4 linked regions of the Lepisosteus oculatus genome follow. The protein of the gene in region 2 purifies or fractionates together with the protein of the main gene of each other region. This does not show direct contact. Links are inferred from orthologs where the notes say so. Each region holds a gene or a part of one and is shown on either strand. Other genes may lie near its edges. The genes, in order: ccnt1, snw1, eef1a1a and snrpb2.

Region 1 (7,155 bases), on a different chromosome or scaffold from region 2:
ATAATAATAATAATAATAAAAATAAAACAACTTTATTTATAGAGCACCTTTCATACAAATAGAAGCTCAAAGTGCTTTACAAACCAAGAAAAAAAATAAAATCTTTAAAATTAAGAGATATATTTCCAGTTGTAAAGGAATAGCCTGGAAAAGTGAAAAAATACATACATTCCTGGTTCTGAAAACAAAACATTTCTTTAATCTATGGAAGACAAAACAGTAGCTAGATCATGTCTTCATTAAAATGCAACTGCACCTGTATTTCCTACAAGGAGATGGAGTTTCTTGAGAAGAAGGAGAACAGCAAGGAACCAGACATTTGCCCAGGAACAAAATTACACTTCTACTAAGTTTTTACACTTACAAATGTGTCACGAACATGTGCTTTGGAACTAATTGCCCTCCATCCCCGGCAGTTATGCAGCTTGGGAAAGTTAAAAAACACCTGTAAATGTAAATACACAAGTCAAATCCACACATTCAAGACTTAGATTCTCTCAGTCCTTAGTGGCTCCCTCACTTTCCAGAGTGACTCACTGGAAAGACTCCAAGTGCAGCCAACAGGGCTGAACTAGACCTCCCTGCCAGTGGTTCACTAAACATAGCATCCAGCCTGACTGTGTCCATGTAGCACCACCAGTGTTTCTATGTCAAGGATGATGCAGTGTGAGCTCCAATGATCTGCTGTGTGTGCAGCTGTGTGAGCTCCGCTGACCTGCCAGGTGTGCAGCTGTGTGAGCTCCAGTGATCTGCTGTTGGTGCTGTTGTGCAAGATCCAATGATCTGCCAGGTGTGCTGTTGTGTGAGCTCTGCTGATCTATCAGGTGTGCTGTTGTGTGAGCTCTGCTGATCTATCAGGTGTGCTGTTGTGTGAGCCCTACTGATCTGCCAGGTGTGCTGTTGTGTGAGCTCTGCTGATCTGCCAGGTGTGCTGTTGTGTGATCTCTGCTGATCTATCAGGTGTGCTGTTGTGTGATCTCTGCTGATCTATCAGGTGTGCTGTTGTGTGAGCTCTGCTGATCTGGTGAGTATGATGTGTGAGCTCCAATGATCAGCCGTTTGTCTGTGAGTTCCAGCTTCTGACTTGTCTAGCACCTTGGCCAGCTCCTAATAATGTACCCACCAGGAAAAGCTGCAGTGCTTTACTTCAACTTGATTGTAAACCTCTGTTTCAGTCTGAGGTACAGCTGAATCCTGACCTCTGATCACATCAGGCAACAACAGTTCATCAGTGGAGAGTCTGACTGGAAACCTGCATTATTTCCCAGTCTCCTTCCACGACACCAGCAGACATGACACTCGCTGCCATGAGTCATCCCTGCAGGAGCAGTCCTCTGGGAGGGTCCGCTCATGTGTTGCTGCACCGGGGCTGGGTGCTGCAGAAAAGACCAGGATAGACATGATGGTTGTCTATCGTGTTCGATGATGACGGTTGTACTTTGTGCAGCTCACCTATTTGGAAGATGAGCTGCACAAAGAAACCTGTGCAGGAGAGCTTTTTGAGGTGGGAAAGCCGTTGCACTGGGGCAGTCCCACTCTCTCGGCCTCAGAAGCCTGGGTCCAGTGGTGCGAGCGGCCGTCATGACTGGAGACTTCCTTGGTTGCAGTGGATGGCCATGACGCCTTCCTGTCCCTTGTCATGCCCTTTGCTTTCCATGGAGCGTTGCAACAGTATAATGACCCATCACTATACTGGGGGCATTAGGACCCACACAGACCGCAGGGTGAGCGCCCCCTGCTGGCCCCACTAATACCTCTTGCAGCAGCAACCTTAGTTTTTCCCAGGAGGTCAATGAAACATCCTCCCAGGAGGTCTCCCATCCAGGTACTGACCCGGCTCACACCCTGCTGAGCTTTAGTGGGCTGCCAGTGGTGAGCTGCAGGGTGATACAGCTGCTGGTGGACAGACATGAACTACAATGAAAACACCAGAATGCACCAGAACCAGTATGCACCAATGCACCAATACACCAGGTGCACCAGAATAATCTGTTACCCTGTATCCACACTAATCCAGTGTCTGTGCAGGCTTGAAAACTGTCTGGTGCCAAAGGAAATTTTAACAGATCTCAAAATGTGTAGCTCATTTAATGTTGGCTGTGTTAAAATTACAGCAGGTCACGTTTATGCAGTATATCATAGCAGCAGTATGGAGAAGGGAGCTGGGTGTGAGTGACAGAGGCTCAGTTAGGGAATGGGGGCTGGACCAAGTTAGAGCCATTTACAAAACACATTCCGCATGGATCGGTGCACCAGAAACGCATTTTGGAGCTAATATTAAAAACAACTTTATATGTACCTCGCCGGCAAGTGAATTCGCGTCACCATTGCCATCGTTTCTCGGCTTTTTCCGGACGCGTTAGGAAAAATAAAATAAAAGATGGCATTTTGCTGCCACCTGCTGGTTGGAAATTAAATTACGTATCATTGTTTCCCATTCGCAATGCCGTCTTGGGTGAGTAGCTCAGATGGTTAACCTACAAATAACCGATTTCCTACAAATAAAGAAAACTGTTGTCATTAACGGGGCTGCACCATAGCACCATAGTTTGTATCGCACACCACCCTGGAGCTCATGCCCAGCATCCTCACGCGTTCAGGGACTCCGTTTTCTGCGTGGTACGCACACGATCCAGAACTGCAGGGGTGTGAGGCCTCAGAGACTGTCCTACACCTGTGCCCAACCGTGTGGGTCACACAAAGCCCCCACCTGCTGTGGCTACAGACAGTCTTCCTCAACCACACTTCACTGAAGCCCAGCAGGTGTGAGCCTGGCCAGTACCTGGATGGGAGACCTCCTGGGAAAAACTAAGGTTGCTGCTGGAAGAGGTGTTAGTGGGACCAGTAGGACCTGTAGGGGGCGCTCACCCTGCAGTCTATGTGGGTCCTAATACCCCAGTATAGTGACGGGGACACTATACTGTAAAAAGGTGCCGTCCTTCAGATGAGGCATAAAAACTGAGGTCCTGACTCTCTGTGGTCATTAAAAATCAGAGGGTGTTTCTCTAAAAGAGTGTTACTCCAGTGTCCTGGTCAAATTTCCCATTGGCCCTTATCAATCATGGCCTCCTAATAGCTGGTGTGTAGTGAGGTACTGGTGCACTATGGCTGCTGTTGCATCATCCAGATGGGGCTGCACACTGGTGGCGGTGGAGGGGAGTCCCCATTACCTGTAAAGCGCTTTGAGTGGAGTGTCCAGAAAAGTTCTATGTAAGTGTAAGCAATTGTTATTATTATTCAATCTGAACCTGCCTGCTATACATTTTTTGATGTATAATGCCTGATGCTGTTTCAAAAAGTAGACTGTGGAAGTTTTTCTTGTGTAGATGATAGGAATAAAGTTTTGTAACAAGCCAAATTAGTGTTAATCATGAAAGCCAGAAATTAATTTATTGAAAGGTATGTAGATTTATTTAGAGACTGACCCCAGCTCTTGTGGTTAGATAGGTTTTCCTTGTCTCTTTATGTCAATAGCTTATTTGAGGAGTCAATTATCCAAATAATCTAAATATTTTCCAGCAGTAGGTAGACATATATATAAGACTTTTACACTTATTAACTCAAAACTTTCTTTCCACACAGTTACCACACACTTTGGAGCATGGTTAGGAGTAATATTATTTTTATGAGGTAATTAAACAATCAAAGCCAATCTGGAACATGAACCAGAATTCACAGCCTCTTAATAATTTCCATTTTTTTGCCCACCTCCCAAAGGACCAATTGGTGACTCTAAATTGTAAAGGAACAAGTAAAGGTTTATTCTTTACTGAAAAGAGGAAAAAATTGAAGTCTCCAAAGCCGAAACGTTGTGTTTCTCTTCTTTTCAGCATGGAATAAACCTTTACTTGTTCTTTAACAGCCTGCACATGCTGACGCAGCTGCCTACTTGAACGACTCTAAGAATTTCAGATTTGAGGGGGTGTTTACAGTACAACCAGTACTGGCTATGGGGCTATAGGCAAATACAACTAAAGAGGCCGCATGGCCTATTCTTACTGTGGCCGTTCTGATTTTCTACGGTACAGTACCACACCAGAAAAGAAAAGCCGAAGCCAAAAAGCCGGTCAAAACAACACCAGACGGTGACATCATTAGGTATTGCCGGATGCGGAAGTGACGTTCAATGGAGGCCTCCATCAAAGGCACTGAGCGTGGCGTTCGTACAAGCAAGCTTCCGGTGACGCCGTATTTTTTTTTATATTGTCCCTCTCAGTAATGGCGGCTTCGTTTCCTTCTTGTTCCTCACCGAATAGCAAATGGTATTTCACCCGGGAGCAGATCGAAAATAGTCCGTCTCGCCGTATGGGGCTTGACCCAGACAAAGAACTGTCGTACCGTCAGCAGGCCGCAAACCTCCTTCAGGACATGGGGCAGCGGCTTAATGTGTATCTTTTCACTGGGGCGCTCGGAGCGCTTGAGTCGCAGCACGGCGAAGCCGGTGAGGCGGCATGGATACGGCGGCTCAGCTTGGGTTTTCCGAATGGCTTGGCAGTGTCAATGTATTAACGCTGGTCCAGAGCGAGGTTTGTAAAAGAGAAAGAGGTGTCGTGTCGACATGTACTGTGGAGTCGGTGTCCTGCCGGGTTCTCGCTGGTTGCTAAGGCCCGAGCAGTGTAGGCCTCGGCATCGGCCTAGGAGTTTTGGATAACAAAAGCCGGCGCCGGTGTTTCCGGCGACTTAGGCGGCCTCTTACAACCGGAGGACGGGTTAATCCCTGCAAATATCATATCTGGTTGGAGTTTTAAGAATCGATTAGTAGAAATGACGTTTATCTGTTATTTCATTGTTGGAGCGAGAAATTCACCGCTGCCGCTAACTGGTCAGCGTGTCTCCAAGCGAACAGCATTGTTCTCACAGCATATAAAACAACACGTTTTCGAGGTTTTCATGCTTATAATGTTTAAGGAAGTCGAAATGTACTGTACAGTCCCCTTGTGATAGCACATACAAAGACGTTTGCGATATTTACTGGAGCCATGAAGTAGCGGTTGTTTAGGGAAATACATTTCACGTCTTGGTGCCTCATGTTTGTCAATATAAGCCCTGGTTAAAATGGTTACACTGTTAGAATCCTGTTTATAACTGTAAAAAAAAAACTGTAAATAATTGAGAAATTAATAAAGTCCAGTGGCGCATTCGAGTTCGGCGTCTCCACATAATAAACATTTTTATCAAGTATTCTTGAGTCGTTCTTTTAGACGAATTCTGTAGTCATCATATTGCATTAAATACACTTAACTGTGATACTTGGCTTGAATGTGGATTACAAGACAGATTGGTATTGAAGGTCCTCACAGAATGGGAAAATTAATTCCAGTTCCCTTATTTTCCTGCAGTTAAAAAAATACTGTGAATGGTACAAAAGGTGATTAAATCACTTTTTAACAGTATTTTATTATAGCTACTGTGTGCTTGATGTTAGGAGTATTTGTCAATATAGTCGTCCTGAGGGTTTGGTAAAGTAAATTAATTGCACTCAGTGGCTGCAAGAGGTATTTGATTGTAATTATGCTACATGTATTTTAAGGTTAGATTCTGTCTCAGGCCCTCACCTGTCATGGGTGGACAGGGATTATTGTACCCATACTATAATCTTTCTAAAAAGTAGGGCTAGGTAAAGGAAGGAGATTTTCTAGGTGTTAACTATGAGGTATCCGTACAGCAGGCTATCATATTAGATGGGTTCTATGCACGTATATTTTCCATACTTGATATTACAATATTACAAAGTATTATGGAGAGAAAGAAAGGTTTGATTGTTATACAAAATGTGGCCTTAGATCATATGTGATTTGTGCAAAACATAAACATGCCAGGGTGCTTTAGAAACCTCAATCTTCAGAATAACTTTGTGACAAAAATATTCATGTTGGGGGATAAACCTATGTTTTTTAACAGAAATGGCTGTTAATTGTAAATCAGTTTATAAGCATCTTGTGACTTCACCTGCTGTACGCTCGTAGTTGTCTGTAGCTATATTTTGTTTTTGAAAATGAATACTGCTTTACTCTCTAGAATGTATGCTTCCATGAGGTGAATTATGCTTGGCTGTGAATTGTAATGCAAGTACTGTGTTTGGTGGTTAGTAGGGTTCTAGGTATTAAAGACATGTCATGTGAAGTGACTGCTGAGACTGTACTGTTAGATCAATAGGAGAATGTCAGCTCAACCATCTGTGGCATATTAACAGTACCCCAAAGTAAAATATGTGAAGGCAGTGTGGATCTGTTAGTTTTGCATTGTGGAATTTCTGTTGGTAATTAACGTGTGTTTATTAATAGCTATTAATAATGACCTTAATTGTAAAATACAGTGTTAATACCAACTGTGTTCAACAGTCATTTGCTCTTTTGTGAAGTGTAATGGATATTGGTTGTTAGTGGTTTTCTCAGTGGTATCATTGCTAGAGCTATTGCAAGCAGCCATGTTTGCAATAAGTAGTTCAGATTAGTTTTAAACTATGTTCATATTTCTGAAACTCTGAAGATGTCTGTGGAGCTGTAGGTACACATGTTCTCTACCTGTGTCTTTAGTTAATTCACTGGATTTGACTCCAAATTACAGTTCATGTATGGTAGGCAGTGCCTGGGGTCATTCTCACCCCTGCTCTTGATTTAGGGTCTGATCTGTCACTTTTTACTTAAATTGGAGTTAAAATTTAATTTCATTTTTTGGTTTTGCATTAAGATGGATCTGCTGCAGGGTGTAAACTGCTTGCTTGGCTGTTAAGTGTTGATCACCATTATAAATAATAAAGGGGTTCAGCCAAACCAGCAGTGTTTTGCCAGAAAAATGCAGTTAAATGACTTAAACCATCCTTGTCTGTTGTGATCTTCTGATGCCTGTTCTTCAGTGTTTGACCAACTTTTGTAGTTTAGATTGCTGTTTTATGTTGTTGGTAAAAATGTCAGGTTTCCCAGTTAAAATCCTGGTCGCATCTCCCAGGAGCCTCTTAAGAAAATCTGAACATGGGAATAATGCAGGGAACCCCTGCCCCCAGACATCAATTTCTAGTAGGTCCATATAGAGTTGGGGAGTTTGCAGAGTTTTTGGATTTAATTCTTAATGACTTGGTTCATTATGAAATTGTTTAGAAGGTGATGGGCAGTTTAAGTCTTGTGTGATGAGATAAAAAGTCCCTGTCTGCTGGTG
Region 2 (7,920 bases):
GGCCTTGTCCCAGAAAGCCATAAACACGCTGGTTTTGTTCCAGCTGAGCTGAGTTTGATTTCAAATTGATATTAGGTCAATTAAGGGATCAATTCTGTAACAGAGACCAGGAAGTACCAGTGACTCCTCTCACCTGATGTACTGTGCAGGGGCTTGCTTATCGGCTGCCCGCACAGGCATGGCTGCCGCGATCTTCTGCGATACCTGCTTGTCCAAGGCAGACCTGGTCTTCTCTGTCAGCTGCATCAAAACAATTGTTTTCCCTTCAGTTTGAAGACACTATTTCAAAATGGGCTCCAAGGTAAAATGTGGATGGACTGATAAGTGGTAATATTCATATCAAAGTCCAAAGCCTCAGGTCCAGGGAATAAAAGCTGTCTTTATTGAGAACATGTTAATTTATCACTGACCATGAAACAAAAGCAAGCGGGAAGAATTAGGAGTCAGCAATCAAAGTGCTTCTTCTTCCCAGTGCAGTTTAATCTGGACAAAATACGCACCTCTCTAACCGCTTCTTCATCAGGCCTCTGCAGGTCTGGGTCATCTTCATTCATAACTTCCTTAGGAAGCAAATCCGTGAACTTGCTGTATATCACCTAAAAGCAATTAAAAACAAGAACATTCTGGTTGCCAGTGCTGCACATTTAAGAAGAACATGCTTAAAACATCATTTGCGCTAATCTACCAATGTAAACAAGGCATCTCTGGCAAGCAGATGAGTAGTTGCATCACTCTACGTTATAAAGAATACATTTAGGGTATAACGACTGAATTTGCAATCGTTTTTCTTGCTTAACAGTTCCTTTAGGACTTTAAAAACAGAAGTTAACCAAAACCGGCGGGTTTATCTCCCTGTGCAGCCAGGATGTTTGTGATGCTGCGACATTTGAAAACACGGTACCATACCTTATCCTTGCCCTGCCCTTGCCTTGCAATGGCATCATATTTGACCTTTCCCTCCGCATCCACCTGCAGCGCCAGAGCATTCGAGGTCTTCTTCTTCCTGCCCATTTCCAGTGGGTACTGGGCCACATGGATCTCAGGGAAAGCACCGCCATCTCCAAAATCCTGGGAATGAGTTCAAAAACAGTATGTGTATTAGTGGGTCTGTGTTAGTCCCCTGAAGCTACTGATGAGGTCACCTTGGAAAGTTTGGAAATCAATACTCACCTGCTGATCCACACAGTGGATAAGATATTAAATCTAAGTCTGACAATTTGGTTATTAAAAAGTGGTGTTAACACTGTGTCTCAGATAAGCCATCTCTCAGCACGCCACTTGCTGATGTGCTGTGCAATGGGGCGGAAAGCAATAGATAAGTATAAGGAATAATGTACAGTATTGTAGGGAAAGTCTCAATACCCAGGGCAGCATGGGACTTTTAACATCATATCATGCTTAAAGGGTTTTCCGTCAATTCAGAGGAAAAAAACACAAAAGAAATAGTTTGGAAACAAATGCGAGTTATAATTGTATTCAATGCCCGGTTTCAGTATTGTACTTTTAGTCTTAAAAAAAGAAAATAGCAAGCACGCTCAACACTAGTACTCAAAATTGTGAGACAAGCTCTGTGGATTTCTTCGGAAGCCACAATGAAACGTTAACCACGAGACACAAGCAGAAACGGCAGGGGAGTGCATTTAAAACTGAGAAGGAGAAGCATGTCTTTACTCAATGAGTGGTGGGAGTGTGAAACAAGCCACTCGCTATATGTTGATATCCATACCCTGGCAGGGAGATGCTAGGTACGGACCAACTAGCACATACCTACTGGACCGGCTGAACGGCAAGCTCATGAATCACACAGGTTAAGCAGATGCAGACATTTAGCAAGGCAGGCAGCCCGAGTAGCTGCAGCAGAATTACCTCCAGCGTCCTGGGAATCCAGCCTTTCCGGTAGCCGTACGGCGGCGGCTCTCTGCGGGAGGACACCAGCGCGGTGGACGGGGGCCTCTGAGAGCGGTGCCCATCCTCCGCCTCCAGCTGGTCCTGGGTCAGCTGTGTCGGGGCCGGTAAAAAGCTGCAACCCAAAACACATTCCCCGATCAGCGCTCCCACTAACAACCAGTGCACCAAGCAAAAAAACAAACAGGGGCTTGAGGTGTTTTAAAGATGAACTGAGAGTAACTGTAATCTCCACAAACTGCGGTTACACACTAAAGGACAAAGGATAAAGCGTCCCATTGTGAGACTTTTTATTACAGACGACCACTTCACAACAAGTGGGCGGAGCAATGATTCTGTGGCTCGGGATCAGCGCCTGTGGCTGGAAGGTTGCTGGTTCAAATCCTGCGGCCGGCAGAGGAATCCTACTCCGCTGGGCCCCTGATTAAGGCCCTTAACCCCAACTGCTCCAGGGTCTGACCCTGCGCTCTGACCCCCAGCTTCTCTCCCTGTCTGTGTGTCTCATGGAGAGCAAGCTGGGGTGTGCGAAAAGACAAATACCTAATGCAAGAAACTGTATTTGGCCAATAAAGTGATCTCATCTCTCCTCAGCACGGAACACTGCTGACCCCTCACTTCAAACTCACACCATACAGCTGTAAACCGATCCGGCTCAAGAAACCGAGGCGCAGCCAGACAGCGAGAGCCGGCAGTTCAAACAGCTAAACACCGTGGAGTCAGCCAATGATAGGGATTCCTACATATAATCACATACGTTGAGAATAACATTCGAAAAGGTACTGAATAAACCTCTCTCTCCCGGAGGCCAGGAGATAAATAAGGCCCGCAGGACGGGCCCGGAACTGCGCAGAGCGACCCGAGCGGGAACGGAGGCATAAATCACTTTATTGCTTTCGCATATTACCAGAAAGGAATTGCAAACAAACGTGTTAGTATTCTTGATCGCGAGATACTGTCGTACACACAATAATCGCCGTTTAGTCCCAAAACAAGCTCTGTCGTACACAGCTCACCTCGCCAGCGACATCTTGTTTCCCCGGAATGTGGCGTTTGACGTCACCACGCGCTTCCTTGCGTCACGTCGCAGGCTTAACCTCCGGCAGTTGTACAGTTTCCACTAATTACACAACCTTGTGATTCAGTAGCGGACAAGACGCGCTTGCAAATACGCGTAGAATGCCTGTCATATTTAACATTACTAAAAATAAATCAGTCCCGTTGGTGAATATCGATTCAGAGTAATCTTTTGAATAAAAAAATAAAACGAGACTGCCCCGATCATCAACTACATTGTCCAGGGTGCCTTGCGCAGAGCAGGTCGAGAATAATTGAGGTCGGGAGTTGAGAGGTCGTCTGGACCGGTAAGTGAATGGGAATTTACTTGCACAAATGTGCATAATAAACGTAAGCAAGTGTTGTATGTGTGCACTTTGTGCGTATTTCATAACAAGACAAAATGATTTGCTTTTTGGTGCATTTATTTTGTAGCGTCTTTTGTATTTGTACATATCGTTAGTGTTACAAAACCTTCAACTTACATAATGTCAATGGCATGGCACTGCACTGCACTGCTCATGAAATGCAGTACAACTCCGATACCTTTCTTAAACATCCTTAATGAAAAGCCTTGTTGCTGCTGTAATGTTACAGGTTGTTTCTGAACGTTTAGTTCATGTATGATGTCGTGTGTCTTCACCACTGGCGACATGAACTGCCATCCACACAGTGTGACTGTAGCCATCAGTACTGAAAGCAACACACAAATGACAACAATGGGAAAACGATTCGTGATATACGAAGACCAATTACCATAATTAAATATGATGATGGTCAGTATTATTTGTTTAGCGACTTAGTAAAGTGCTGCGCTCACTGCTGAATAGTACTACTTGCAGGAGGTTCTCTGAAATGCCTTTCTGATTCGTAACGTTAAACTCAAGGCAAGGTCCCTTTCTCTGAAACTCTACATGTATTGTAACCTTTTTCTGTTGTGTATTATGTTGGTCAGTAAGAGTATTTCCAATGTTAGTGTTCAGAATTTGTGTTATAATGCCATAAATGTTACTGCTTGCTCATGCATGGGCAGAGACGGGTGCTGTTCCCATACAACAATACAACACCCTGATGCAGAGACACAATCTTTGCTAATTCTCCCTCCAACTGCTCAAGCATGTGAAAGCAGTGCTCAGGGACCCTCTACTTCCTTCCTTCATCATCCTACACGGGAAGTATGCTCTGCAGGCAGGTAAAAGACTCAGTGCACCTTTGATAGGACGTGAACTAACAAATAAGAAACATGCATAAGATGAAAAAACACCACAAAAGCTATGGTCGAATTTCTTTGACTGATTATATTTTTTTTATTTTATCTTAATATTACTGAATATGCTGATAAAGAGTGGAAGATCATAGCAAAAAAAGAGAAAATGAAGTACGTAGAGCAGCACACAGTCCTTGCAGCTGCGTGTCAGAGGCTGTCTGCAGAGACGGGGAGTGGTATATCACTGAAATATTGCACGAGGTAATCCGGGCTGATTGCAGGCCTGAACTGGATGCAGCCAAGCCTGTTTCAGTACAGTATGATAAATGAAGAATGAGCCAGGGCTGCAGAGCGCTTTTTTCAGATGTAAAGGCCACTCATCTTTAGTGGCTTGTGAGGAATGGCCCTGCAGGCTCATGACAAAGCAGACCAAGGTGTCACAGCCCTCAGTACCGACACACTCCCACCTGTCCTGTTGCCTTACTCATTGCAACACCCTCATCCATGCATCATCATGCTTAAATGTGTTTTAACCCGTGGAGTAATACTACTTTTTAATATACAATGGGTCTTGACAGAAGCAGCTTCTGGGAGTAAGATTGTTCAGGGTGAAGTAACTGCCGGTAAATGAAGCAGCTGATTGTGTCAGAAATGTGTATGTTCATCATCGCAGCCCCGTTTGTACTGGAGCTTCGCAGCTGGCGTGGGCAGTGCTGTGGGAGAACAGAGCGTGTGCTTCCTCCTCTCCACATTGCAGTGCCCTCATGGCTGGACGGCTGCTGAAGGTCTCCTCGCTGGCCACGGCCCTGTTGGCCTCTTCGGGGTTCTGCTGGTATCACAGGCCTGTGGATCTCAATGACATCAGCTTCATCCGGTTCGGAAGAGCTGCGGTCACGGTAGGTTCCTGTCGACTTTCATCTATTGCACCAAAAATAGCAAGGTGGGCCAGGCGGCTTCTTCTTCCTCGTGTTTGTAACCTGTGGTGCGTCCTTGATACATAAGAAACAAATATGAAGAAGAGGAGGCTAAATTACTATGGCCCATCTATGGCCCAGCATCTATGCTATTGGCCCATCTGAACTTCAGTAATGAAGATGGTGTGTGTTTATTCACGCGGGATCTGTCATTCCCAGCATAAGTGCCGTACCTTGCAAGTCTGGACCAAATAACACCCAGCTGCGAGTTAACAGATGAGCTGCCCTTTGCTACTTTATGAGAAACATTTGGCAAAGCAACTCCACTGTTTTTTTTATCACCAAAACTCTTTGGGAAACTGTTGGTAGGGTAGTGCTGAATGCTAACCTTTGTAGAGGAGGACACCCAGCCTGTGGGAGCTGTTATGATTTAATTTAGCTCATGTGTGCTGGATTAAATACAATTGATAGTAGTAGCTGTGCCATGAGAGGGTTTCTAGATTGAAGACAGGTGGCTTGTTTAGAAATAACACAGCTCAGACATTTGCCAGTTGTCCAGGAGTGGATATGTACATTGAAAATGGCCAATAAGCCTGTGATTACTTAAGTGGCTTGTGGACAGTCCCAGAGAGTTCCCACTGTTCTGTTCCTCCTTGAAGAAAGAGAGCGTCTGGGACTCGGAGGGCAGGAGATGGAGGAAAAGGCAGACCACCCACAGTCAGCACAGAGCAGCCGATAGAGGGCAGCTGGGCTCAGGTTGTCAAAGGACGTACAGCCCATCCTGACACTCCCACCCAACAACTCGTCATCACCAGACACTCTGGCAGTGGACTTGGAAGTACAGGGTCAAGATTGGACACCTCTGAGTAGCAGAAAACATGATCACAGATACTGGAGTCCACTGCACAGCTGTTATAAAGCCTTCAGTCTGTGACAGAGCCACCAGAAATGCATAGAATATGGCAGTGGTGGCTGTTGGAGGCGCTGTTATCAGACAAACTGCAAGTGAAACGAGACATGTGGATCCCGGGTCAGTAAGAGTGAGCCACAATGCCTGCCATTCTCCAGACTGCTGATGGGGCTGACTGGTGCCTAGCAAAGGCAGGAGAGGAGCCAGTTCTTGTTTGTCCATGTTGGGAGAAATGACACTGGCATGAACAGCACACTTCGCACACCAAACACATTCAGAGTTACTCAGAGAGAAACGCAGGCTCTAGTTAGGTTCAACCTTTCTAGCTTCTACATTTTCATGTGGAACTGTCGTAGGACAGTTTCCAATCTGCTTTTTCTTGTAAGGACAGTCGTCATGGAGGCTGGTATGCTAAGAAGAGACAGTAATGTGGGATTTACTATACAGTGCGTTAGGAGTGTAGTATAGTCTGAAGCTATTTCCTACTAAGAATTTGGTTATTGTTTTTTTTTTACATAAAGATAACCAAAAGGATGACTTGACATTAATTCCGCATGTGCTGCCTCTTTAACCTACTGTTCATTGTAGAAAGTGTTTATCCAATATCTACAGAAGCACTGTTAGGTTAATATCCCTGTACCTTTCCATTGTAGACCGCAGTTATCAGTTACGACTACTTCACATCTCTCCGAAGATTTGAATATGGGACCGAGGAATACAGCGCTGCCAAGTCAGAGGTAAGTAAGATTTCACAAGAGCTCTTACTGTGTGATATGCATTTTGTTCATTTTAATGACATTTTGTTGATAAAATTCAAAGATAACTTTTATTTAGGATAGAATTTTTGTAGAGAACCGATTTGAAATTTCAGATTTCATATCCTTCTTAGATCCAGCCATCACCCTGCAATTCATAACTGGGAGCCCACTGAAGCCCAGCAGGTGTGAGCCTGGTCAGTACCTGGATGGGAGACCTCCTGGGAAAAACTAAGGTTGCTGCTAGAAGAGGTGTTAGTGGGGCCAGCAGGGGGTGCTCACCCTGCAGTCTGTGTGGGTCCTAATGCCCCAGTTTAGTGACGGGGACACTATACTGTAAACAGGCGCCGTCCTTCGGATGAGACGTAAAACCGACTCCTGACTCTCTGTGGTCATTAAAAATCCCATGGAGTTTCTTGAAAAAGAGTATGGTGTAACCCCGGCGTCCTGGCCAAATTTCCCATTGGCCCATATTAATCGTGGCCTCCTAATAATCCCCCTCTATGAATTGGTTTCATCACTCTGGTCTCCTCCTCACTAATAGCTGATGTGTGGTGAGCATTCTGGTGCACTATGGCTGCCGCCGCATCATCCAGGTGGGGTTACACATTGGTGGTGGTGGAGGGGATTCCCCATTACCTGTAAAGCGCTTTGAGTGGAGTGTCCAGAAAAGCACTATATAAGTGTAAGCAATTATTAATTAAAATTATTATTATTATTCTTAGGCGGAGGGTGGAGCACCGGGGTGCTCTGCTTGTAGTGTTGCAGTTACTTGGTCCGCTTGCCTTCTTAGAATCATAGTCATCCTATTAAAAAAAAAAACTCATTTTAATCCTCTTTTTTAAGGCTCAAAATCCCAGATCGGAGTACAGAACTAAACAGCTTTTAACGTTATTTGAGCACTTTACTCTTAATTTCTTGTTTGATTGGAAGAACTTGAAGCTTGCTGCATGTGCGCTAGATTTTAAGAGGTGTTTTTTTAAGGTAACAGTTATTTAAAAAGCACACCCATATCTTACTGATTTCAAATTTGAGATTTTTTGTTCTGATTGGAGATTGCGGTTTCATGAACACGCTGGTATTTTTCTCACCTGTGGCGAGAGTGACTAAGTCTGAGACGTCAGCCCACTTTAGGCGGCTTAAGGGAACTGTATTAGTGGGGGAGCATCGTCAGTT
Region 3 (7,986 bases), on a different chromosome or scaffold from region 2:
GTTCCAATGCCTGGGAAGGCCGGAGAGCACGTGGGTTAAGGAACGGACTGCTACTCTGTCCCTTTGACACCTTGCTTTACACAGAAACCAACAGTTCTCACCTCCAATTTTGTAGACGTCCTGTAAAGGCAACCGCAGGGGCTTATCAGTTGGGCGTGTGGGAGGCTGGATGGCGTCCAGGGCTTCTAGAAGAGTAGTGCCTGAAGCATTGCCATCTTTACGGGTGATCTTCCAGCCTTTGAACCATGTCATCTTTAAGTGAAAAGAAAGAGGTGCTCAAAAATCACAAAGGGTATTCCAAGCAATGTGTCCTAAGATGGGCTACACCAGACAGCCAAGTAAGCTCCATCTGACTTACATTAGGGCTCGATTCCAGCATGTTGTCTCCATTCCACCCAGAGATGGGCACAAAAGCCACAGTGTCGGGGTTGTAACCTATCTTCTTGATGTAAGTGCTGACTTCCTTGACAATTTCTTCGTACCTCTTCTGGCTGTATGGCGGCTCAGTGGAATCCATCTTGTTAATGCCAACAATCAGCTGTTTGACACCCAGGGTGTAGGCCAGCAGGGCGTGCTCGCGGGTCTGGCCGTTCTTTGAAATACCAGCTTCGAACTCCCCAACCCCCGCCGCAACAATGAGGACAGCGCAGTCTGCCTGTAAAAGCGAGGTGGCGACAAAGAGAGGTGATCTGAGCTGTTGTTGTTGTCTGGTCACTTGTCATGGCGGTTACTGATAATACAGTTGTACAAACCTGCGATGTACCGGTGATCATGTTCTTAATGAAGTCCCTATGCCCGGGGGCATCAATGATGGTCACGTAGTACTTGCTGGTCTCAAACTTCCACAGGGAGATGTCGATGGTGATGCCCCGCTCACGCTCAGCCTTCAGCTTGTCCAACACCCAAGCGTACTTGAATGAGCCTTTGCCCATCTACAAACCAATTAGCATACGATAAGCTATTTAAACCAGGCATGTAACAAGTGCTTCAGCAACACCATGCGGCACTATTAAAAATACAACCTAGTTTATTGGCACAAGGTTACCTGGGCTTAATATCACTTCACCTGCCTGATAAAGTACAGTAATCCCATGGTCTGCAAGTTCAGAATAAAGCCTACCATACCAGACTTTCTAATTTTTAAAACTGTTGGAAGGTGTTCTTAAACCGTGAACATACCTCAGCAGCTTCCTTCTCAAACTTCTCAATGGTTCTCTTGTCGATGCCACCACACTTGTAAATGAGATGGCCAGTGGTGGTCGACTTGCCAGAGTCCACATGGCCAATCACTACAATGTTGATGTGAGTCTTTTCCTTTCCCATTGTGAATTTTTGATGATACTAAACAATAGAATCTACAACACAAGATTTACATAAGGTTACACATTTGAACACAAAATATCCCACAACTATACACAGACCATAACCACAGCAGCTTTAACAGGTGTCATGAATACTATGGACATGTATAGTATGGTGTATACTATAGTGTAATACTATGGACATGTATAGTATAGGGGTGGCTCTGTGGCTAAGGATCTGCGTCTGTGGCCAGAAGGTTGCTGGTTCAAATCCCACAGCTGGCAGAAGAATCCTACTCTGTTGGGCTCCTGAACAAGGCCCTTAACCCCAACTACTCCAGGGGTGCTGTACAATGGCTGACCCTGTGCTCTGACCCCAAACTTCTCTCCCTGTCTGTGTCTCATGGAGAGCAAGCTGGGGTTTGTGAAAAGATGAATTCCTAATACAAGAAAATGTACAGGGCTAATAAAGTGATGTTATGTTAATTGTACTGTATGCCAGCATTAATATCTTACTTGTAACCACAGTCTCTGGCATCTGAGCATTTTCTGAACAGCAAATACTACTCAAGTTCAGCAGCCAAGTCCTTGGCACAAGATTGCATCAGGCTGCTCCACCCAGACAGCTGCTTTGCGTTTCTCCGGAGATGGGCAGTTATTCGTCATTTCTATTTCGCACTCCACGGATTTCTATTTGTGTACAAGGTGGATGAGCACTGTGCATATGTCAATGTTCCCTCCATTTTGTAGGAAATCTCCAGTGCCTTGACAAAGCAGCCATTATAGACGTATACTGTACATGCTCACATTACACAACAGAGGGATAAGGCAGACATGCTCATCTTACACCAACACAATAAAAAAAAAAACAAATTAGGATATTCATTCCTGTAACTGGGAATAATCGAGTATTGGTGTCGCCTCTATTAAGAATTAAGAAAACATTTAAATCGGTAACAAAACATCAGTTTGTATGATAGATTTCTCAAATGCTTCCAACAGCCAGATCCTGCTGAATAGGCAACTGACAAACGTCTGCCTGGATTATATTTATGTATTTCAATGTGGTATTTATTTTAAAATCTGCAACCTCGTTTTAAAACGTAGCTGTCCCCCTCGAGCCTATTTATTTAAATATTAATGCAATATATAATGTCTTTAGGCATAATCGGTTTATTATATTAAAAACGGGCAAATGCAATTAAAAAAACACCTTGTGTGAAATTCTAATCTGATGCTCTGAACCACTACAAAAAAATCAAATATCAGCCATAACGATACGGAACGGCTTAAGCCAATGAAACATTAGGAAGCTGCAAATTTAGGTTATAAACTGCTGTGAAGGGCGACAGTCCCATAATTGAGATGTCTGAAGATTACTCCTCCCCCCCATCGCCGCCATATTCTCCCCTCATTCAATGCTCAAAGGCTGTTATTCATTAGCGCAATGTGTGTTTCTAACTTAATAACCATTTCAGAAATCCAGACGTTTTTAACACATGCATCGCAATCGTGAATACACCGTGTAGCTGGCTCATTTCCAGCGCAGCATGCCACCCAGCGCCAAAGAAAAGACGAGGCTTTCCCAGTAAACAAAGATGCTGCAATTATCATTCCAGAATGTCCTACCTGCCTCCAGCTTCTGCGTGCTCGTTGCGGAAAAGAGCGAGCGCCGCCGCTGATCCGTTTATATTTCTGTCGGGAGGGGGTACAGCAATTGTCGTCAGGACTGACATTTCTAATACCCCCTCTTAGCCAGGACAGAGCATCTTCAGGGACGGTGAGAAAACATTTAAGAGTAGCGTTACTGTAATCGTTAGGAGGGCAAACATCATCGTTAAAAAAAAAGACTACCACCGCTCTTTTTTTATTAATTCGCGGTTCTGTTGCTAGGATGCTAATAGGGATGTTAAGCAGGTGGATGCAGAGTAGGTTTGAGGATATCTTTAGTGAAAGTGCAGTTTAACTTGTGAGTAGTCCCCTTGCTAGGTGTGTCTCTAGTGTTCGTCTAGTCTCCTTAATTTCATGGTACGCAAAAAAATACAAGCCATGGTGTTTAACAAGCGCTGATTGATTTCGTTATGACAAACTTTCATTTATACATGCAGTTCAGGAACTTTTTTTTAAAGTTCAATATTGACCAGGAAATATTGTGTACAGAATGAAAAGTTTTCACAGCAGGTGCCATAAAATTTATATGATTTTTATGATAAATTCATACAGTTCGCTAAGCACTCTGCGTTTTGGTGAGAACACAACACTTTTATTAAATAGTACAACTAAACCACACATAAAAATAATAGAATAGAAAGAGTTTTACATTTTAAAGTGATCAATTCCAAGAATCCTTTTTCTGGTGATGAAGAGATACTCACACATGTACATTGGTTTTAACATTTGTCACAAAATAAAATACACCAGTAATTTGTATTTAATGATACAAATTATTATAGTCGTAACAAAGTTTTTTTTTATTTCCCTTGCAACTTAATATCATGTTAAACTGATTTACTCCTTTCAGCACTGTACACGTTCCTGAACAAATAAAGTGCTTTTATTTATTTGTGATTAAAGTTAAGAGTATTAATATTTGTACAAAAAGGATGCCTCAATGTGATATACTTCACATTCCCATTACATACTAAAAGCTTATTCACAGAAGTACAGAAAGGTCTTTAGAATTCACTACAATAACATTTCTTAACCTACTGTACTAAAAACATTATAATTTAAAAATATTTAGGAAAAAAGGGGCTAAGCTATGCCACTTCTTTTTTTAAATGTCAGCTTTTTTAAGTAGAGCAAAACTTCATAAAGTTTGACTTTTTGTTGCTGTTAAAGCAGTAACGTATCACCTTATCACAACAAATAACAGCTGTAACTTTTACGAAATTGAAATAAAAAAGGAAACAATGTGTAGAATTAAAAAAACAAACAAAATCAAGCCAAACATCTGGTTTGAAAAATAAACCACTTTTTTAGTTATAGTGTCATTGCTTCTCTGCTGACAAATTACCTTCATACAGCTACTGTAGCTAATTAATATTTCTAAATAATGCATTTTATAGTGTTCATTTGTCCTATTTCTATCTTGCATTTAGGAATATGGGTCATATTCCAATTTCCCTGACAAGCACATGAGTGTGAAAAGAAATCTCGTCTGCAGACATCAAATCTGACTGGCATTAATATTCCAAATATTCAAGAATCATGCTTTCAGATATGTTACACTGAATAAAGGCACTGAATAAAATTTCTAAATACTTGACAGTACTTAAAATCCAAATATCAACAAATAGGAAACTGTAACTCACTAGTTCCCCACTTTACTACGTTAACCATGTTTTAAAAAAAAACCTTGGGATTTTGCTATAAAACACAAATAGTATAAAACCCAAGGAAATGGCAATTGTGCAATTTCACTAGAATAAACAATACTTTCTTCAAAGAACAAATTTTGCTCAGGAAACCTACACTTGATGATAAACTGCCACTGGCAGTCAATATTAATCTTCTTCTGCCCCCTCAAGAAACTAGTCTGAATTAAACATACATAATTAATAAAAATAATGTCAAAGATGTACACAAATCAAACAATAACATGCCATTCAGTATCTTTAGTTTTAGTTGATGCACAAAGGTGGCTTGATTTTTGTCAGCAAATGTTTGAAAATCTAACAATTATGTCTCACTAAATTTGGTGCAAGGACAAAATCCTGAGTAACATGTTTAAACAAGATTAGACGACAATGAAATAATTTGGCGATGTTGAGCAGAACAGAAAAAAGCATATCACATTGGTCAGCGCGGTCTCCTGATTTCGGTAGAAAGTGATTCGTTTTCCGAGAGCTTAGCTGCCATGTGAGTGAAAATCTGGAACTGCCCAACCCTGGACCACTCCTTTACCAAAACAGGTGAAAAATACTGCACCAAACACATTGATAGCAGCAGCGATGTAGAAGACAGTCTGCCATTCTGGAATAGTGTTCTGCAATAAAGTACAAAACAATGTCTTACTGTACTGTATATCAGCATTCACAGAAGCAAAGATTATTGTGAAAGCATAACTTTTAGATTAAAAAATCTCTTCTCTTTTAGCCAGTTTCCATCTGTCACTTTTCATTGCAATGTGTTTACTGAATGCTTTATATAAACATTGGAAATAATTAATAGAAAGTAGAAATATTATTTCGAGTGTTGCCACATAATCTTAAATAATTAAACTAAAATAGTTCTGTAAAGGCTTGTTACTGTTAAAAGAGAAAGAAAATACTTCTATGCCAATTCATGAGACTTACAGAATGTGTAAGGGCTCTGCCTATAACTGGTCCAACCATTCCAGGGATAGTGGCAAATGTATTGGTAATTCCAAGTAATATCCCAGCATAACTAATAAGACAAAAACAGATAAAATGTTTTTACAAGGAAATCGCGACTATATACTATACAACGCTGAGAAAATGTAATAATTCAAATGTATCACTTCTTTGTGTGATACATTTATATACAAAATTCATGAAAGTCTTAAATAAAGATATTGAATTATTAGTACTAATAATTTAGAACTAAAAAACACAAGAATACAGACCAGCCTAGAGGGTTCACAAACTTTTTCTCAGCACTGTGCAATACTTCAATTTATGTAGCATTAAGACTTTTAGGGAGTTCATTTTCTTTGAGGACATGTGCATCATGTGTCAACATCCACAAGTAAAATTAATAATCAAATTTATAAACAACTTCAAAAACACATACATTTTCTATATTTCTGTGTTAAATAAGAGAAGGAAAAATATATACATTTTAAATATTTTAATAAATGAGTATTACCCTAGATTAAAGAGCAAATGAACAGATAGAAACCATAAGCAGCAGAGGTTAACTGAAGGTTTTTTCAATAAGAAATTCTTTTCGTTGAAGAAGAATGAGTGTGGAAAATTTGCTTACGATGGCGCAATATCCAGGTGATTTATACTAAAGCCTGATGCAGAGATCCCACCCAAGGCAGAGGAGATTGTCAGAAAAGTCACAGCCAGGATATAATTACAGCCTGTATACCCTGCACACACCAGAAATACAGCTGGTCCAATCATTCCTAAAGAAAAAAAATATGCTTGGTGAATGGTTTCTTTATTAAGATCTCATGTCAGTGATCCTTAAATTTAGGAGAAGCAAATTACTTAATTCGACCGACCAAGGAACACTTTAAATGCCCAGTTATTAGCACAACATTGTTACCCATCTTAAAAGCTCAATCATTTTGTTAATTAATTGTAATAATTGTTTACATTCTTCTCATGTACATATGTTATCAATTCACTGTTAATAGCATGCATTTATCAAGGGTCACTCAAAACCCCCGAAGCAATACCTACAGTATATAACAGCTTCAGTCCACTGTAAGTAAGCCACAAAGTGCACCAACTTCAAAAAGGCCTAGATCAAGTCACTAGCTGAATGTGACCTAGACTCCCAACACACTGTTCACCGGGAATGACAACAGCCAATTAATAGGCATATTAAATGGTTTATTGAGAATTTGAAGTTATGGTTATTTGGCTTGGTTGAAGGTTAACCTTCTGGCCAATTTGAGCCAAATTATAGCAACCAGCATTTCCAAATTGGGCAAGAAGGTTAAATTGGCAACTCTAAAATAATTAATGGTAAAAACATCTGCTATATACTGTAAGTATCTGAAGCATCTTCATATCACACACACAGCAATGCTGATAGCAAGTTGTATTTATCAGGGTGAACAGGCTTTGGAAATCACAGGAGCTCTCCAAGAACAACGATATTTCTGTGCAACTAACCGATCAATGAGAAACACTTGCGCACTCTTACAGTAGAAACCATCCATGTTTCTCTCAAGTAATCTGCAAGCTGACCACCTAGAAGTGCCAATATCCAACAGCCCAAATATGGCAAAGCAGACAAGAATCCATTCTGTATGGGAAAAAATTGTGTTAATTACATATTGACATTCAGCAAAAAATAAATTAATAATATTTGTACTATAGATTATAAATAAAAACCAAGCATTTGTTTACAATTAACATGCTGACACTATAAAAAATGTTTAATCATTAAGGATTTATCAATCAAATCTTCAAAGTGTACAATTTATAATTAACAAAAAGCCCTAGTTCTACTGGAATTATCTAATGAAATAACAGCAATAAATTTATAGAGATAACAGATGTTATTTTTAGACAAAGATAAAAAAAACCCAGGCTTGTTTCAAAAAGTCCTAACCTCTTGAATGTTGAATCCTAGAACGTTTTTCATGTAGGTGGGTAGTAAGGTCAGCAGAGTGTAGAAAGTCCAGTTGTAGGAAAAATGAGCTACAACAATGGCCCACAGTGGCACAGACGTCAATAATGACCTCCAGGGAATGTGTTTAGTTGAGGGAGACAGCTGAGAAGGGAAAACAACACAAAATACGATATGACTCATGAATAAAACTGCTAGGAAATACTAATTTAACACTGTGGGCAACAACAGAGGATCACATAAAGGTTAATTTCACGCTGAAAAGTAGAAAGAATAAACGACAGCAAGGTATTTAATTTCGAACAGGCTACGTTCAACCAAATGAAAGTTTTCAGAACACTGACCAGACAGTTAATTAGTAAATGGGATAGGAGAGAATAACTTTAACGTGTTTTGCAGGATTAATCTTGCT
Region 4 (7,938 bases), on a different chromosome or scaffold from region 2:
TAGAAAAAAGGAAAAATAACATTATAGCAATAAGTACAGAAGTATTATTGTGCTACTGCAAATATTGGACATGAATTTCACACTTTCAACATCTTTTTATTCCTGCAAGTTAACCTTTTACGTTTCTTTGATGTTCTATATTTTTAGTATTTCTTTCTTGAAATGTTGAATACAAACAAGTTAAAAATATGGACTTTATCAGATCTGCATTCATACTCACATATATGAATATAGAATAATATATAGAATAACTATTTCATTATAGTTATAGATAATTTCATAAATAAATCCCCCGTCATCTGGCACATACCTGTTGAGTCTGGGGGGCATTTGAAGGTGTATTCGTAGATGCCTGTTTCGCAGAAAGTAAAGAAAAAGAATCAATGAAAAACATTCATCCAGAAAAATACCTAACATTCATACTGTGGTTTGTGCTTTTAGTAATAAAAAACACTGCTTACCTAGATATTATTAATTATACCTATGTACAGTACCGTATAGTAACCACTTCATTTGATTTTTGTGTAATTACACACATAATCACAGTTTTCATTTTCTTAATGCCTTTGGGGTCCATTATAATGTCAAAACAGCCAATTTTCTTGCACGAAAAACAAGAGCTCACACAATACTGAACAGCATAGAAAGCAAGATGTAATGAAGTGCATCACACACGTCTCTCCTACCACTCCATAGGCTCTGTTAGTTAGTGGAATGTGATGCAAGCAGTCTACATGAGATGAGTGGCGCTGTATGCACCTTCCTCTTCACTCTATAGCTAGTATCGCTATTTGATGCTTTGTGGTATTGAAATTTCATAAAAAGAACATTAGTTAAAAGAAGCATGGGTGTGGTTTTGATATATTGGGGTTATGTTTAATGAAGCAAAACTTATTTACCGGGGCTGGTTTCTTGGTTGCATTTGCTGCCTGCTCCTGAACTTTCTTCTTCTTTTCCTTCTTCTTGTCCTTGTCGCCAAATGTGCCTCGCATTTTAGAAATAACATCAGAATCTGTCTTGGCATACTGAATGCGCTGTGTAGGTAAAACAGGAAAGAAATTGCGTATAAATACTCTTGTGTAAAAGTCTTGAAATATATTATACTGTTGTGTTGTTTTCAATGCTATTCCTTCTAAATGCAGAAACAGTTCTGTAGTAATGAAATACAGAAATTTTGAACATTTTAAGAGAAGAGTTAGGCCTGAGAGATCTGCATTTTGCTCTACAAAAAGAAGCCATTTAGTTTTATTATGTAAATTGTGAGCAAAACCTGACAATAATAGAGTTTAGATTTTATAGATTTTATTATTGTGCATGTGATGGAATACGTTACTCCAACATTTCATGTACTGCTCATGTAAGCTTTCCCATGCTAAGCTTTATTAATGACTATCAAGGTGGTCTGAACAGTAGAAACGTCTTGCGGTGTCAATGATGCCGAACATGACATATATTGTTACAGCCAATTAGATCCAGGATCTCTAAGGCTTTTGCACGAGTATAAAAAAATGCAATTTTAATATAAAAGGCCCAAAAGCTGTTCCTGTTTTTCTTTTTAATGTAGAAAAACCTTGTAAGAATTGGATTTATTCCTTATTGAAGAGCCTTCCTAAAAAATATGCATCGTTACATGAAATAATCATACATGGCAACTTGTTTTCTAGACAAGTCAAATACAAGGTATGTATTTTTGTAAATGTCAAAACAGCTCAAGTGCACTTAAAACTCAGATGTGTAACTAACCATTGGCTTATTATAAAACGGAAATCCTTGCAGTTGTCGAAGAGCATTGGTAGCAGAGCCCAGTTCTTTGAAGACAACAAATGCTTGTCCTCTCATCTTCATTGTCTTCAAAGCCACAATATCAATTATCTGTCCAAACTGAGAAAACAGTGCATATAGCGACCTCTTTAGCTCTACGGAGAAATAAAAAAAAATTAGTGCATTCAAAACCACTAAGTATTAAGTCAGGAAGAAATGATAGAAACTGCACAGGAACACTATTCAGATCTAATGAGTTTAAAAATCAATGCCTGCTAGTACTGGGACTGTGCTTTATTTCTGAACATGTTGAAATATTAATCAGATCATACTAAATTACTGTCAATCTAAATATAGCAGTAAATGACATGCAAACTGTGACACTCCCACCCCCAACCCAGCGGTCAACATAGTTCAAATGAATTAAGTTAAAATACTGTTTGGACACAGCCTTGTAGCTTCCTGTTTAACTCGGTGGCTCCCACAAGAGGCCAAACGCCCATACAATTTAAATTAATTTAGTTAAAATCTGACTGTACGCGGCCCTACAGCCTCCTATTAAACAATATTACCATACAGTCACACTATTTTGACACAACTGGTACATGATTTCTCTTTCGGTTTTACCCTATATACATTCAAATTTATTGGGTACGGTTACAAATAGGCAACGTTTATCCGAACAACAGACTTCCTGAATCATAAATGACGATATTCGTAAATACTTACCTTCTTTTTTGATTTTGTCATTTACATTATTAATATAAATGGTGTGGTTGGGTCTAATATCCATGATGGCACTGCAACGTTATAACTACAAGAAGAAAAGAGATTTACATATAAACTGTTCTAATCTAATTTTTAAAAAACCTCGGTGGCTAAAGAAAGTGAAACATTGTTCTTGTTAGATCGAGTATTTACATGAATTTGTATTTATGTAAGAGTTAATTAAAAACAATTAAAAATCATCTTTGCTCAGAAGCTAGAAGAAACAAGTACGTGATTTACAAAACAAGACTAAAGTCAACAGAACATATTAGTATTTCTAATTATAAAGAGAGATGTTCCACTTTTAAACTGCATTTCATTAAAACATAAAATAAAATTAATAGAAACAACACAATATTAAAACACAGCAAACTCACGCCGCTCTTCTTCAAAACGCTACCGGAAACAAACTACCATCACACTTCCTGTGTGCAACACTGTGTAAAACAACAAGAACACTTCGCTTTGAATATTTAGTTCCTACATACTTCTTGCTCCCTCTAGCGGCACAGACTGCATACCGTATCTGTACGTAATAATTACATACAGTATAAAATACGTTAATTTTGTGAAACCAATTTGTATTGGGTTAATTAAACTATCGAATCCACTATTAAAAATACACGTTTAAAGCTACACATTTAAAAGTGTGAGAAATATTACATTCCCGGTGAAGAGAAAATATCTCCTTGACAAAAAAGACTTGAGCACGCTTTTGTTGTGATTTTTTTTGGCGTTTTTTACATGTGGGGTACACATTAACTGAATGTGAAAACACGCATCATACAGCTATTGTCCATGACCTGTGTTAGCTAGAAAACAGTTTTAATCAAACAGGTCTCGATATAGATTCTGTGCACCGAAAACATACCGTATTGTATTGCTTGTCAAGACGCAGCTTGTGAAATCTTACGGTGGTTTACTGATCTGAGATTCCTGCCTGATTTTATTTTCAAATAATTCCTGTAACTTTGTTCAGTGTTCAATGGGAATTCTTTGTCTTATTTGTGACACAACAAAGAGACATCTGAATGCAGTTAATTTAATGCTTTTAAAATACCTCATTGATTTGTTCTCCTATTAAATGCAAACCACATGTGATACAATATGCTATATAATCAGGCGCCATGGGTGTGTTTTTACTCAGCCCTGAGGAAGACGGGAGGAGGGCCTACATGTTAGCAGGGATACAATACATGCAGACAACAGCAGTTTTAAACATGGCTTCAGGACTGCTAGTGTACCCACCCGGGAACCCTGCCATGGTGAAATCGTTTTGTGGAGATTCAGGCATCTACTATGCAAGGGAATGACAGTTAGGCTGGGGCTATTACTCACCATTGTTGGAGTAATTCTTACAATCTTGCAGCACCCCAGTGTGAAACATGCACGTTCAGTAAGGGGCACATCTCCAACTCCACTACCCACTCTTGTATTTTTAGTGTAACTAAACCCATTATAAAAAGCTCTTGCCAGTTCAAAGGAAAATCAGGCTGCTCCTGTAAGTGATGTTGGCTTAAAAGAAGAACCTCTTTTCTCATACCAGAATTTTCAATCCAATGCAGCAGAATACAAATGGTCCTACACTGCTGTAGGAGGTTCATCCTTCAAAGGGCCTATTAAACCAATGTGTCCCAACTACTTGGGAATTAAAAGTCAAATGGTACTGTTTGTAAGAGTAGTGAGTTTATCGAGGGCAGCATAGTGGTGCAGTGGTTCATTGCTACGTCACAGTACTGGAGCCCTGGGTTCAATTCCCAGATTGCTGTCTGCGTGGAGTTTGTATGTTATCCCTGTATTTATGCGTGTTTCCTCTAGAGTCCAGAGACATACCAGATTAATTGGCTATGGTGTGAATGTGTCTGTGGATGTTTCGGCCCTGCCAAACATCCATCCCTCCTTACACCTGTTGCTTGCTGGAATAGGCTCTGGATCCCCCACGACCCAGTATTCGATAAAGTGGTTAGAAAATGGGTGGATAGAATGTTAACGGCATTCTCCTGGCTAAATTTAATTTCGAACTTACATTATCTGTCTTACCTAATGTTCCCCTCTAATTAAATCGTCGAGAAAATTTCTCAGTTCTCTACTTTATCTGCTGTATGGTGGAGCTCCTGGTGCATAAATTTACTTCTCTGTGTCACCCAGGTTGGTGCAGCACATCAGTAATGTGTGAAATGCATTCTTTCATGTGCAATGAGCTTTTGTGATACTTAGGCATAAAAGTGTTACATAAATCCAATGAAATTATATTGCATTCTGATGTATGGCTTTTTGAGCCTTTGTTTTTTGTAATAAGCTTACTTAGTCACGCCTGCAGGACACGTGTAATTGGTTTGCAAAGGAGTTTGTGTCAGACTGTTTTACAAAATACCACTGATTCACTTGGCACATGCAGCAGCTTGTGGAGGGCTCTCTAAGGGTTGGCATATTTGCGTGCGACTCATTTAAATCTGGATCTTATTTATTTTTTCTTAGAGATTGGAGATCCTTGGAGTGAAAGATATTAAAGGAAGCAAATAACACAATTCAATATACTGGCAAGGTGTTTTGCCAAACGCTTCTGTTTCCATTGAGACTGGTCGCTTACAGGAGGCAGATTGAGCGTTCTGGATATCCTTCCAAACATTAAATGAATGATTCACTCGTGCTGAGGTTTGAGGGTCCGGACTTCATAAATAAAACCATTGCTCTTTGTTTGCTGGATATCAACAGCTTAGTGAAAAAGAATATCTACTCATAAAAGAAAAAGCCTGCTGACAAAATAAATTGTGTGGAAGAAAGATGGTCCAGGCAATTTGGAGTGATATAAATGCACCAAAATGTACCTGGCTCATTTTTCAAAATCACTGTGTTGGTCCCATGTTACAGAAAAGTACATTGAATGATGACAATTTAAAAGAAATGACAAAAAACACAACTTTGAAATGTCCTTTAAAATGTACAGTATTATTATTGTATTCTGTGTTTTCTTTTAAAGCATGTTCAAGCTTGTTTGTAATTATTTTATTGCCATTTTAGTTTTGTTCAATGCTTTAGAATGTTTTTTAAAATGTTATACAAATAATCTAGTTCAGCTAAATGTTTAATCAGTTTTTCTGTTATAACATCTAAATAATGGTGTTCACTGTAGAAAATAATAAATAATAATTCATTTTTCTACCATGATTTCCAAAAGCATGGGGAAAGTTAAAGAGGAAAAATAAATTGTGTCCCTTAATTTTATTTATTCTGAAGTTGAATATATGATCATCGAGTCATAAAACATCAAATGGTTTTTAGTACCCTTCTAACACTATCAGGTTGATTTTCAAAGTACAAATGTTCCAGAAAGGGTTTATTCCCTGCTAAAATGAAAAGAGACATAACGTTTCTGCTATGGGACCTTTTTTAAGCATGAGGGAGAGAGGGAAATCAGTTGCTAAAGATGGGAGAACAAAAGACTGAGATGAGGGGAGGAGCTGATTTTCTGAAAATCCAAAGCAAAGACTCAAATTCAGAGGTGCCAAACCTGTGAAATATTAGTTTTTCTTTTTTAGCTTCAATATCATTAGGAAGATATTTTCTCCATATACCATTGATTCTTTCTCATTTATTTTACCTATCAGTTGAGAACAAATTCTTATTTAACAATTGGGATTTCAAGACCTATTTATACAAACAGGGATTTAACTGGAGCTTTTACTGAAGTACAGTATAGTTCTTTACTCAAGGGAATGCTCAAGTAGCAGCGTACTTCAGCTATTACATAGTGCTTAATATTTAATGTTACATTTAATATATACTAAATGACTTGCACCACTATACTGCACTATCAAAGCAACACATTTAATTTTTGAATGATTCATTTTTGACTTAATATACTAAACAATGTGAGCTTTCATAGCAATTAGAGTGTGCTGTATTAACCAGTTTAAACTATTACAGTCAGAATTAAAAAGGTAAAATTGTAAGAGAGATCATACAGTATGTGAATGAGAATATAATATGTATAAGACATTAAAGCAGTGATTTCCAGCTTTGGTCCTAGAGAGTACAATTTCGGTTTGTCCATTTTTTTTAAAATATAAAACATCTGAAAGTTATTGATAAATTACACGTTGTCTTTACAATTAAGGGAACTATGTCTTTGAGGACAGAATGGTACCCAGATTCTGATCCCAGATGATCTTTAAATTACTCAATTTACAAATCGAGACTCTACAAATGTTAAACTCATGTTCCTTCTCTTAGTATTGTATCTAAAAAACCCATAGGAACACTAAGAGAAAACAAAACTCAACTTTGACAAGGACACAAAATGAAAATCAGAAAACGAATTTCGGTTAAACTGTAGAAAATCAGGTAGACAATTGTTTTCTAAAATCATAATTCGCCCACTGCAATACATATTTGAAAAGAGGTCACGGAGGCAATTTAAAATTAATCGTTTGATGAGAATCGTTATTACTGGTTTCAATCCACAAGAATCTCTCGATTATTCAAATAATACCCTATTTTAAACACACATAATTTCCTGTTAGCCTGTGGCTGAGCAGGCCTACAAACTCCCACGCCCGCTGCGTTGCGGTCGTACACTGAGTCATGAGGGTTTTGCTTTGATTTCCCCGATGCCTTTTTCCAAACGCGTTCTTCGTTTAAGAGTATTTTGTCCTTTACAGCATCCCTCCTGGAGTTCATGCTTTGTCAGCTGACAGCGGTAGCGGAGTTTGAGAGTTTTTCCTTGGAAAGATATCCTGTATTTACTTCTGCTGCGGTGGCACCGGTGCAGTGAAAGTCAACAGTTCACACCGTTCAGAAATTCACACTGACATACGCAAAAAAATATGTTTTTTCCCCCCTTGCGTTTGTCCAAAAGTAAGAAACCTAAATAATAAGACTGCGGTTGAGCTGGTAACAGGTGCGAATCACAACAGAGCCACAGGAATGAACGATGGCATCAGTGAGAGTGGCTGTCAGAGTCAGGCCGATGAATCGGCGGTAAGTGTCTAACTACAAAAATATTTTCTTCGCATTTAAGTTTTGAATGCAAAGTCTTTCTTTAAAAATGTCTTCTTACCTGCTTTAGCGTCTCCTCTTGTAATATTAAAGAATTTAAGTCGCAGCAGCGTTATTCACCGTGTATTCTTTGCATGCAACGCGCTACATTGTTTTTATTCGGTACCTTGTATACATTTACACGAAGTGTTTCGAAAGTGTAGAACAAACTATCCACCCATGTTGTTTGAAGCTGACAACGTGGTATCTTTCAACTAAGCAACAAAAATGCAAAACATGTCGAAGGTTTGAATAACTGCTTCTCGTTTAGTAAATGTTTTATATAGCGTCTTTGCAACACATCTTCCTATCTGTTCCTCAAATATTCCCCGATCGGGAAACAGACTGGGGATTTGACATAACGGAATGAGA

The links.
Region 1: the proteins of snw1 (region 2) and ccnt1 purify together in Homo sapiens (affinity purification with western blotting; 3 studies listed by BioGRID and IntAct, with this or other methods). This does not show direct contact. The link is inferred for Lepisosteus oculatus from reciprocal best matches to the Homo sapiens genes SNW1 and CCNT1.
Region 3: the proteins of snw1 (region 2) and eef1a1a purify together in Homo sapiens (affinity purification with mass spectrometry; 3 studies listed by BioGRID and IntAct, with this or other methods). This does not show direct contact. The link is inferred for Lepisosteus oculatus from reciprocal best matches to the Homo sapiens genes SNW1 and EEF1A1.
Region 4: the proteins of snw1 (region 2) and snrpb2 purify together in Homo sapiens (affinity purification with mass spectrometry; 3 studies listed by BioGRID and IntAct, with this or other methods). This does not show direct contact. The link is inferred for Lepisosteus oculatus from reciprocal best matches to the Homo sapiens genes SNW1 and SNRPB2.

What each region holds. Positions count from the first base shown.
Region 1 is NC_090696.1:14,602,532-14,609,686, forward strand, and holds the start of ccnt1 (cyclin-T1), read left to right. Parts: upstream 1-4,140; 5' UTR 4,141-4,218; coding exon 4,219-4,388; intron 4,389-7,155. UniProt on the Homo sapiens protein: Regulatory subunit of the cyclin-dependent kinase pair (CDK9/cyclin-T1) complex, also called positive transcription elongation factor B (P-TEFb), which facilitates the transition from abortive to productive elongation by phosphorylating the CTD (C-terminal domain) of the large subunit of RNA polymerase II (RNA Pol II).
Region 2 is NC_090703.1:2,093,350-2,101,269, forward strand, and holds the start of snw1 (SNW domain-containing protein 1), read right to left. Parts: upstream 3,008-7,920; 5' UTR 2,933-3,007; coding exon 2,919-2,932; intron 2,021-2,918; coding exon 1,867-2,020; intron 1,069-1,866; coding exon 907-1,068; intron 597-906; coding exon 501-596; intron 241-500; coding exon 134-240; intron 1-133. Other genes in the region: adck1 (aarF domain-containing protein kinase 1), read left to right, coding at 4,930-5,061, 6,643-6,726. UniProt on the Homo sapiens protein: Involved in pre-mRNA splicing as component of the spliceosome. As a component of the minor spliceosome, involved in the splicing of U12-type introns in pre-mRNAs.
Region 3 is NC_090712.1:11,006,690-11,014,675, reverse strand, and holds the start of eef1a1a (elongation factor 1-alpha 1a), read right to left. Parts: upstream 3,017-7,986; 5' UTR 2,931-3,016; intron 1,356-2,930; 5' UTR 1,324-1,355; coding exon 1,180-1,323; intron 933-1,179; coding exon 753-932; intron 656-752; coding exon 359-655; intron 253-358; coding exon 102-252; intron 11-101; coding exon 1-10. Other genes in the region: slc17a5 (sialin), read right to left, coding at 5,152-5,289, 5,600-5,690, 6,249-6,396, 7,115-7,247, 7,557-7,718. UniProt on the Homo sapiens protein: Translation elongation factor that catalyzes the GTP-dependent binding of aminoacyl-tRNA (aa-tRNA) to the A-site of ribosomes during the elongation phase of protein synthesis.
Region 4 is NC_090712.1:8,264,195-8,272,132, reverse strand, and holds the start of snrpb2 (U2 small nuclear ribonucleoprotein B''), read right to left. Parts: upstream 3,006-7,938; 5' UTR 2,907-3,005; intron 2,576-2,906; 5' UTR 2,555-2,575; coding exon 2,491-2,554; intron 1,917-2,490; coding exon 1,744-1,916; intron 1,035-1,743; coding exon 900-1,034; intron 353-899; coding exon 311-352; intron 1-310. Other genes in the region: kif16ba (kinesin-like protein KIF16B), read left to right, coding at 7,463-7,509. UniProt on the Homo sapiens protein: Involved in pre-mRNA splicing as component of the spliceosome. Associated with sn-RNP U2, where it contributes to the binding of stem loop IV of U2 snRNA.